2 linked regions of the Macaca mulatta genome follow. The protein of the gene in region 1 interacts with the protein of each later gene in a biochemical or structural test. Links are inferred from orthologs where the notes say so. Each region holds a gene or a part of one and is shown on either strand. Other genes may lie near its edges.

What was found.
Region 2: the proteins of DCN (region 1) and TGFB1 form a complex in vitro, tested with the Homo sapiens proteins (3 studies listed by BioGRID). The link is inferred for Macaca mulatta from reciprocal best matches to the Homo sapiens genes DCN and TGFB1.

What each region holds. Positions count from the first base shown.
Region 1 is NC_133416.1:98,632,172-98,636,514, reverse strand, and holds the start of DCN (decorin), read left to right. Parts: upstream 1-1,295; 5' UTR 1,296-1,370; intron 1,371-4,343. UniProt on the Homo sapiens protein: May affect the rate of fibrils formation.
Region 2 is NC_133424.1:52,486,025-52,489,843, forward strand, and holds part of TGFB1 (transforming growth factor beta-1 proprotein), read right to left. Parts: intron 1,909-3,819; coding exon 1,831-1,908; intron 1,695-1,830; coding exon 1,544-1,694; intron 1-1,543. UniProt on the Homo sapiens protein: Transforming growth factor beta-1 proprotein: Precursor of the Latency-associated peptide (LAP) and Transforming growth factor beta-1 (TGF-beta-1) chains, which constitute the regulatory and active subunit of TGF-beta-1, respectively.

The sequences.
Region 1 (4,343 bases):
ATATGTATATATATCATAACATCAAATTGTACACATTAAAATGTGCAAAATTTGTGTCGAGCCTGTCTCAATAATTCTGTTTTAAAACAAAGCAAAACAGAAAACTCCACCATAAGCACCATTATCTATGTACCTGGACATTTTGTTCCAGGCCACCTCATAGGTGTCACTGGTTGTAAGAACTGGTTAGCACCAGGTCAAGGGCTCCCTGATGAATTTATCAGCTGTGGGTAGAGTATGGTGATGTATCCATCAGTTGTAAGCTTAAAAACTTATATTTAAGTAATTGTCTTAGACTGAAGGGAATTGTTGGTTTCCAAGCATTCTGAGGCTGGACATATGTAGTACGCCATCTAATATAAGAGAAAAATGGAGATGTTACCAAGAATAGGGATAAAATAAACTAGGCAACTCAGAGACATTCCTTGCCATCTGTTGTCCTTTAGGCTGGTTGATGTGTCTGGTTCAACTGTGACCCTTTCAAACTTCTCCAGCACATCTAGAACTCTTGTAGTTTGAAGTTTCACAATCCACATTCCAAAAAAATTAGATGTTGCTTAGACTTTGGATTTTGGTTTGAAATATGATGCTACACTTTATCCGCCACACTTTAACATCTGGCTAAGGCTACTAATTAATGCTCAAGGAAATTTGTAATTGTTCAGTAGGGGAAAAAGAATGTAAGTTAACCACAAAGCCCTTCACGATTGGAGAGTGAAGAGATGCCCATGTTTCATTGCTATGTAATACTCAGATGTAAGCTCTCTCTGCCTTACACAATTTAGTTGTTCTCTCCTAAAAATGTTACTCAGATTGAATAGTTATGTATTTATGAAATCTAGATGTTTAGTGGGCAGATGTTAAGACAGTTGCAGAAGAGGAGAATAAGAGTTAAAACAACTGTAAAGTAGATCTCTGACATGGTTCCATCAACACATATTTGTTAAGCATTTTCTTTGTGCCAGGCATTATATTGGAACAGCATAAACAGTAGTGAACAAAAATTAGCCTGTTTCTTTTCTTCATAGAAATTATAGCACAGGAAATGTGTACAATTAGATGTGTAGTTCATTCCAAACTCCCGCTCCTAGATCTTTTTTTCTCTTTCCCATATAATGTGATTTGGCTGTGTCCCCACCCAAATCTCATCTTGAATTCCCACGTGTTGTGGAAGGGGCCCAGTGAGAGGTGGCTGAATCATGGGGGCTAGTCTCTCCCATGCTTTTCTGTTGATGGTTAAGTCTCATGAGATCTAATGGTTTTAAAAACGGAATTTCCCTGAACAAGCTCTCTTCTCTTGTCTGCCGCCATGTGAAGTGTACCTTCCACCTTCTGCCGTGATTGTGAGACCTCCCCAGCCACGTGGAACTGTAAGTCCAATATACCTATTTCTTTTGTAAATTGCCCAGTCTCTGATTTGTCTTTATCAGCACCGTGAACATGGGCTACTACACCATGAAAATTATTTTCATTCAGTAAATATGTACTTATATTATTAACGTTATGGAGCATCTACAAATGAGAAGATTTGGTATAAGATCTTTTTGAAAGTAAGCTTCTCCTTCTCCTCCTTGTCCTTTTCCCTTCTCCTTCACTTTCCTTTATCATTTTCTACTTTTAATTTTGAAGTAATTTCAGGGGTACAAAAATGTTGCAAGATTAGAGCAAAGCATTCTTATATGCTATACCCAAACCCAGATTTTCCAAATGTTAACCTTTACCTCTCTTGCTTGCTTTATAATTCTCACTTTTCCTCCCTTCTTCTCCCTCTCCTCTTTTCCTTCCTATTTCTCTCTTCCAACCCCAGCCTCTCCATAGATATGGTTACAAATGTAGATATAAGTATAGATGCAAATATAACTGTAGTTATATATTTTTTTCCTGAAACACTTGAGAGTAAGTTACAAACGTGATACTCTTTACATCTAAATATATTAGTGTACATTTTATGTCACTTAACCACATTACAATGAACAAAATCAGGAAACAAACATTAATAACACTATAACTTAATAACCCTAACTTAGAAACCATATTCAAAATCAGCCATTTATACCACTAATATTCTAAACCAATCCATGATCCCATGTTGCATATAGTTCTCATATCTTTTTATCTTCCTTTACTCTAGAACAGAGACTCAGTTTTTCTTTGACTTTTATGACAGATACTTTTTTTTTTTTTTTAAAGAATATAGACCAGTTATTTTGAACAATATTCTTCAGTTTGGGTTTGTCTGATGTTTCCTTATTAGATTTAAGCTATGTATTTTTGGCAGGAGTGATGGGTTTTTCTCAGTGCAGCATGATGTCTTTAGTGAAACAGTAATTTAACTGTCCATTTGGTAAATGGGGTGTCTGCCAATTTTCTTTAATGTAAAGTTACCATTTTTGTCTTTGTAATGAATAACTATCTTGTGAGCTACTTTGAGATTATATAATCATCCTGTTTCTCACTATACTTTTATGCAATAATTCTTTGATGAGTCTTGTCTGAAATAATTATTACTAGTATGGCTTCCAAATAGTGATTTTTCTGTTTCTATAATTCGTTCTGCCTTTATTTAGTGGAATTTTATTGTAAAGAAGTTTTACTTTCTACCCTGCTAAACTTCTTTTCTGAGGTCTCTGCATTCATCTGTCTGTCCATCCTTCTCTCTACTTTATTTTTTTATCTATCCATTGCCTCATTTCATATAGTACTAAATGTATAGTCTTATTTCATTTCTCTGACTTAATTAGATTTTTATAAAAGACTCCCCTAGTGATGTTCCTGCTAACCACATTTTTTATGTAAGTATCATTAAATGTGCCTACTACTGCTTTCTATAGAGCCGATGAGTAATTTATATCAGAAAACATGATAAAAGTCCATTCTTTAAAATCCATTAGAGACTTGTTTATGAGGGAGATTCAAGCTTTCTAAAGACCTTCATCAGATGAGTCTGCATATGTTCAAGAACATATGTTTGGACTGTCTATGCTCCTCCCCTAACCTCCTTGTCAAGATGATCCCCAGTTGGATTGCTGACTGAAACTGTAAAGATTACTTACTATAGATTTGATATTTCTATCAAGTTTGGTTGAGTGTCTGACTCAAGTCTCACTCTCTATATTTATTTCAAATATAAGTTTTCTTATGTCTTCTTATGATCTCTCTAACACCTGTCCATGGTCTGATCAGATTTGAACTTTCCAGATTTGAGATTTTAGTGACAGATACAAATTTTATGGAATTAAAATAATGTAATCAGAGATACCATTTATTCAGTGCTTAATATGTATCCCAGGTACTTTACATATAATATTTTAAAATCTCATAAAACCCTATAAGATCAACGTGTATATCTTAATTTTTAAAAAGTCTTTGGCCTGGTGTTCAGAGAAGCTAAATGATTGGACTGAGCTCAAAGCTAACAAGTAGAAGGGCTGGCATTCAAATACAGGTTTATCCTGATGGAAAAGGCCATTTTTCCCTTTGCATTAAACATTGATAATTATCTGTTAACAGTGATAAATATACACAGGAATAATCATGATAGTATATGAAATTATTAAGAATAAAAACTGTAGGGATTCTGAGGCAGAAAAATGAAGTTCTCTTCTTCCTAAAGTGCTGCAGAGTACTCAAATTGCAAGCGTTTATTTATTTGATTTGGCTTTATTTGTTTGGTTCCACTTCTTGCTTTCCTCCTTTGCAGAATCAGTATACTTAAAAATCTACATACATGCTCAAAAAATTATGTCGAAGCCTTAAAATCCATAAATGCCATAATAATGATAATGTTGCTTTATCCCCATGAAGATTTATACCTAGCATCAAGATTTATACCTAGCACCAAGCTTATACATAGCTATAAGTTGAACATATGAAATTAAACTTTTTGTTTCCAACAGCAGGTGGTGGTACAGGGTTATTCTATCAAGTTTTAGGACTTAATTACAGATACTACTGTGTTGTTGAAAGTGATATGGAACATGTACTTTGATTTTGGAAGCCTTTATATTACCTTATTATTTACTTTATAAAATGATAACATCTTTGAAAAAATTACATACTCATAAATCATTTTAGAAGAAAGAAAATGATTAGATACATACAAAATACATACCCTTTAAATCATTTAAACAGTTTAGAACTTCATATAATTATATAAATAATTTTAATACGTATTTTTGATAATATGATTTAATCTTGAGAATTAAATATTTATATCAAATATACTCTAAATTTATAATTATTAGAAAAATAATAGTGCTAAATGGAGGGACTAAACAACTCTTTGTTAGTAAAAGAATGGACAAAAAATGTTTATTTTCACTTCTTTAATTTCTAGATGTTAC
Region 2 (3,819 bases), on another chromosome or scaffold:
AAGTTCCGAGCCATCACTCAAGAGGTTCAAGCTGCCACTTTCTTTTTTTTTTTTTTTTTTTGAGATAGAGTCTCGCACTGTTGCCCAGGCTGGAGTGCAGTGGTGTGATCTCAGTTCACTGCAACCTCCGCCCCCCAGGTTCCAGGGATTCTCCTGCCCCACCCTGGGTACCTGCAGAGCTACTCAGCTGGGATTACAGGTGCTCACCACCACACCCGGCTAATTTTTGTATTTTTAATAGAGATGAGGTTTCACCATGTTGACCAGGTTGGTCTTGAACTCCTGACCTCAGGTGATGCACCCACCTCAGCCTCCCAAAGTGCTGGGATTATAGGCGTGAGCCACCGCGCCCAGCCTGCTGCCACTTTCTATTAATAAAATCCCGGCATACTAATATTCTAATATTCCAACATTGAGTTCCAGCATGCTGGGATACCAATATTCTGCTTTCTCCAATTCCAACATTTGTGGATGTGAATGTTTCAAAACAGAATTCTACCGCTGTGAGCCCAATATTCCAGGACTCCAACCCGCCAACACTGGTATCCACAATCGGCCAGCGGTGCAGAATTCCACATGGGCCATCTTCCCATTCCGAATTCCCAAATTCTAGGATCCCAATATTTCAGCTTCCCTTGAGTCCGACATTCTCCATTTCCGTAATTAACACCAAATTCTAGCATTCTAGAACCTCAACCTGCCAACAGTTTAGGGATTCACGATGGTGACCTTCCAACTTTGAATTCCAACAATCTCAGGGTTCAACTTTCTAACATTCTGTGATTCCAACACTCCAAAAAGAAAGCAAGGCTGGGCATGGTGGCTCACACCTGTAATCCCAGCACTTCGGGAGGCTGAGGCAGGTGGATCACAAGGTCAGGAGATCAAGACCATCCTGGCTAACACGGTGAAACCCTGTCTCTACTAAAGATACAAAAAATTAGCTGGGCATGGTGGCACATGCCTGTAGTCCTAGCTACTCGGGAGGCTGAGACAGAAGAATCGCTTGAACCCGGGAGGCAAAGGTTGCAGTGAGCCAAGATTGCACCACTGTACTCCAGCCCAGGTGACAGAGCAAGACTCTGTCTCAAATGAAAAAAAAAAAAAAAAAAGCAACCTGATCCCAACCTTACAAGACTCCCAGTTCTTTTTTTTTTTTTTTTTTTTTTTTTGGGGGGGTGGGGCTTTTTGTTTTTTGTAGCTGGGATTATAGGCGCCCACCTCCACACCTGGCTAATTTTTGGATTTTTAGTAGAGACGGGTTTCACCATGTTGGCCAGGCTGGTCTCCAACTCCCGACCTCAGGTGATCCACCTGCCTCGGCCTCCCAAAGTGCTGGGATTACAGGCGTGAGCCACCGCACCCAGCACAAGACTCTCGGTTCTTACACCCAGACCTCATCCCCTGAGCCCTCCAAGCTAAAGGAGACAGACGCCCAGTCCAAGCACGGCACCAGCCAGGTGTCCAACCTGGAGCACCTGGTCAGCAGATGGCAGTCATGCCCCCAGCCTGGAAGGTCTCCATTCAAGGATACAAGGCTCACCTGAAGCAGTAGTTGGTGTCCAGGGCTCGGCGGTGCCGGGAGCTTTGCAGATGTTGGGCCCTCTCCAGCGGGGTGGCCATGAGAAGCAGGAAAGGCCGGTTCATGCCATGAATGGTGGCCAGGTCACCTCGGCGGCCGGTAGTGAACCCTGCTTTGGTGTGGGAGTCAGGGGATAGAGGACATACACACACACTCTCAGAGGGATAGATAAGTGGGGCGTGGGGCAGATGGGGACACACACATGCACACACGTCACAGCTGGGCACGGCCAGGGAAGCAAGCCTCACCGTTGATGTCCACTTGCAGTGTGTTATCTTTGCTGTCACAGGAGCAGTGGGCGCTAAGGCGAAAGCCCTCAATTTCCCCTGTAGGAGTGGGGAGAGGGAAGCCAGTCTGAGAGTGCAGCTTACCCAGCCCCTGGAGGAAGAGGAAGGAAGGAGCAAAGCCCAAGGGGTTCCTTCCTGCCTCCCCCACCCACCCCACTCTGCCCACTCGCTGCAGCTCTTTTTTTTTTTGAGACAAGGTCTTACAGCCTCAACCTCCCAGGCCAAAGCAATCCTCCCATCTCAGCCTCCCGAGTAGCTGGGACCACAGGCGCGTGTTATCATGCATGGCTAATTTTTTTTTTTTTTTTTTTGAGATGGAGTCTGGCTGTGTTGCCCAGGCTGGAGTGCAGTGGCATGATATCAGCTCACTGCAACCTCTGCCTCCCAGGTTCAAGCCATTCTCCTGCCTCAGCCTCCCAAGTAGCTGGAATAACAAGCGTGCACCACCACGCCCGGCTAATTTTTTGTATTTTTAGTAGAGATGGGGTTTCACCATGTTGGCCAGGCTGGTCTTGAACTCCTGACCTCAGGTGATCCACTGGCCTCAGCCTCCAAAAGTGCTGGGATTACAGGCATGAGCCACTGCACCTAGCCTACACGGCTACTTTTTAAATTTTCTGTAGAGACAGAGGTCTCGCTATGTTGCTCAGGCTGGGCTCAAGCAATCCTCCCGCCTTGGCCTTCCAAAGTACCAGGATTACAGACATGAGCCACTGCACCCAGCCAGCATCAATCTCTTGAATGAATGAGTGAATGATATTTTCTAAGCTCCCACGATGTGCCGAAGCCTATGCTGTGTGCTTGGGACTCAGCATTGACCAAGACAGATGAAATCCTTCTAGGCCTTTATCGAACAGCCCAGGACACTCCTCTCGGTGCCCACCTGCTCCCTAATCCCTATTTTTTGTTTCTCATTTCTTTTTTTTTCTTTTTTTTTGAGACGGAGTTTTGCTCCTGTTGCCTAGGCTGGAGCACAATGGCGCGATCTTGGCTCACTGCAATCTCCGCCTCCTGGGTTCAAGCAATTCTCCTGCCTCAGCCTCCCAAGTAGCTGGGATTACAGGCATGTGCCATCACGCCCAGCTAATGTATTTTTAGTAGAGACAGGATTTCTCCATGTTGGTCAGGCTGGTCTTGAACTCCCGACCTCAGGTGATCCACTCACCTTGGCCTCTCAAAGTGCTGGGATTACAGGCGTGAGCCACTGTGCTTGGCCCACTAATCCTTATTTTTTCTTTCTTTTTTTTTTTTTGAGACTGAGTCTTGCTCTGTTGCCCAGGCTGGAGTGCAGTGGTGCGATCTTGGCTCACTGCAAGCTCCGCCTCCTGGGTTCACACCATTCTGCCTCAGCCTCCCAAGTAGCTGGGACTACAGGCGCCCACCACCATGCCCGGTTAACTTTTTCTTTTTTTGGATTTTTAGTAGAGACAGAGCTTCACCTTGTCAGCCAAGATGATTTCGATCTCCTGACCTTGTGATCCACCCTCCTTGGCCTCCCAAAGTGCTGGGATTACAGGCGTGAGTCACCGTGCCCCCAATCCCTATTTTTTCATGTGGCCAAACTACTATTTATCCTGTGAGTCTCCACATAATCACGCTCACCCAGCAAGCCCTCCTAGACTCCCCAGATGGGTCTGGGAGCCTTCTCTGGGCTCCCAACAGCGCTTAGGGCATCCCCCATCCTGCATGCCTCTCTGTCCCAGCCTTGTCCTCTCTGCCCGTGCCTCCCCGTCCCATCCTCAATCATTCTAGGTCATTCCTGCCTGGTGGGGCAAGATCTCTTCGGTGTCCAGAAGTGACTGTGGGCCCCATGAGGGCAGAACTGAGGGCTGTCTTGGTTACCACTGTGTCCCCCACACCACCCAGCACAGGGCCAGACACACAGCAGGAACCTGTGGGCAATGATTGAATAAAAGCATGAATGAGAGGGAGGTGAGGGAGAGAGATACG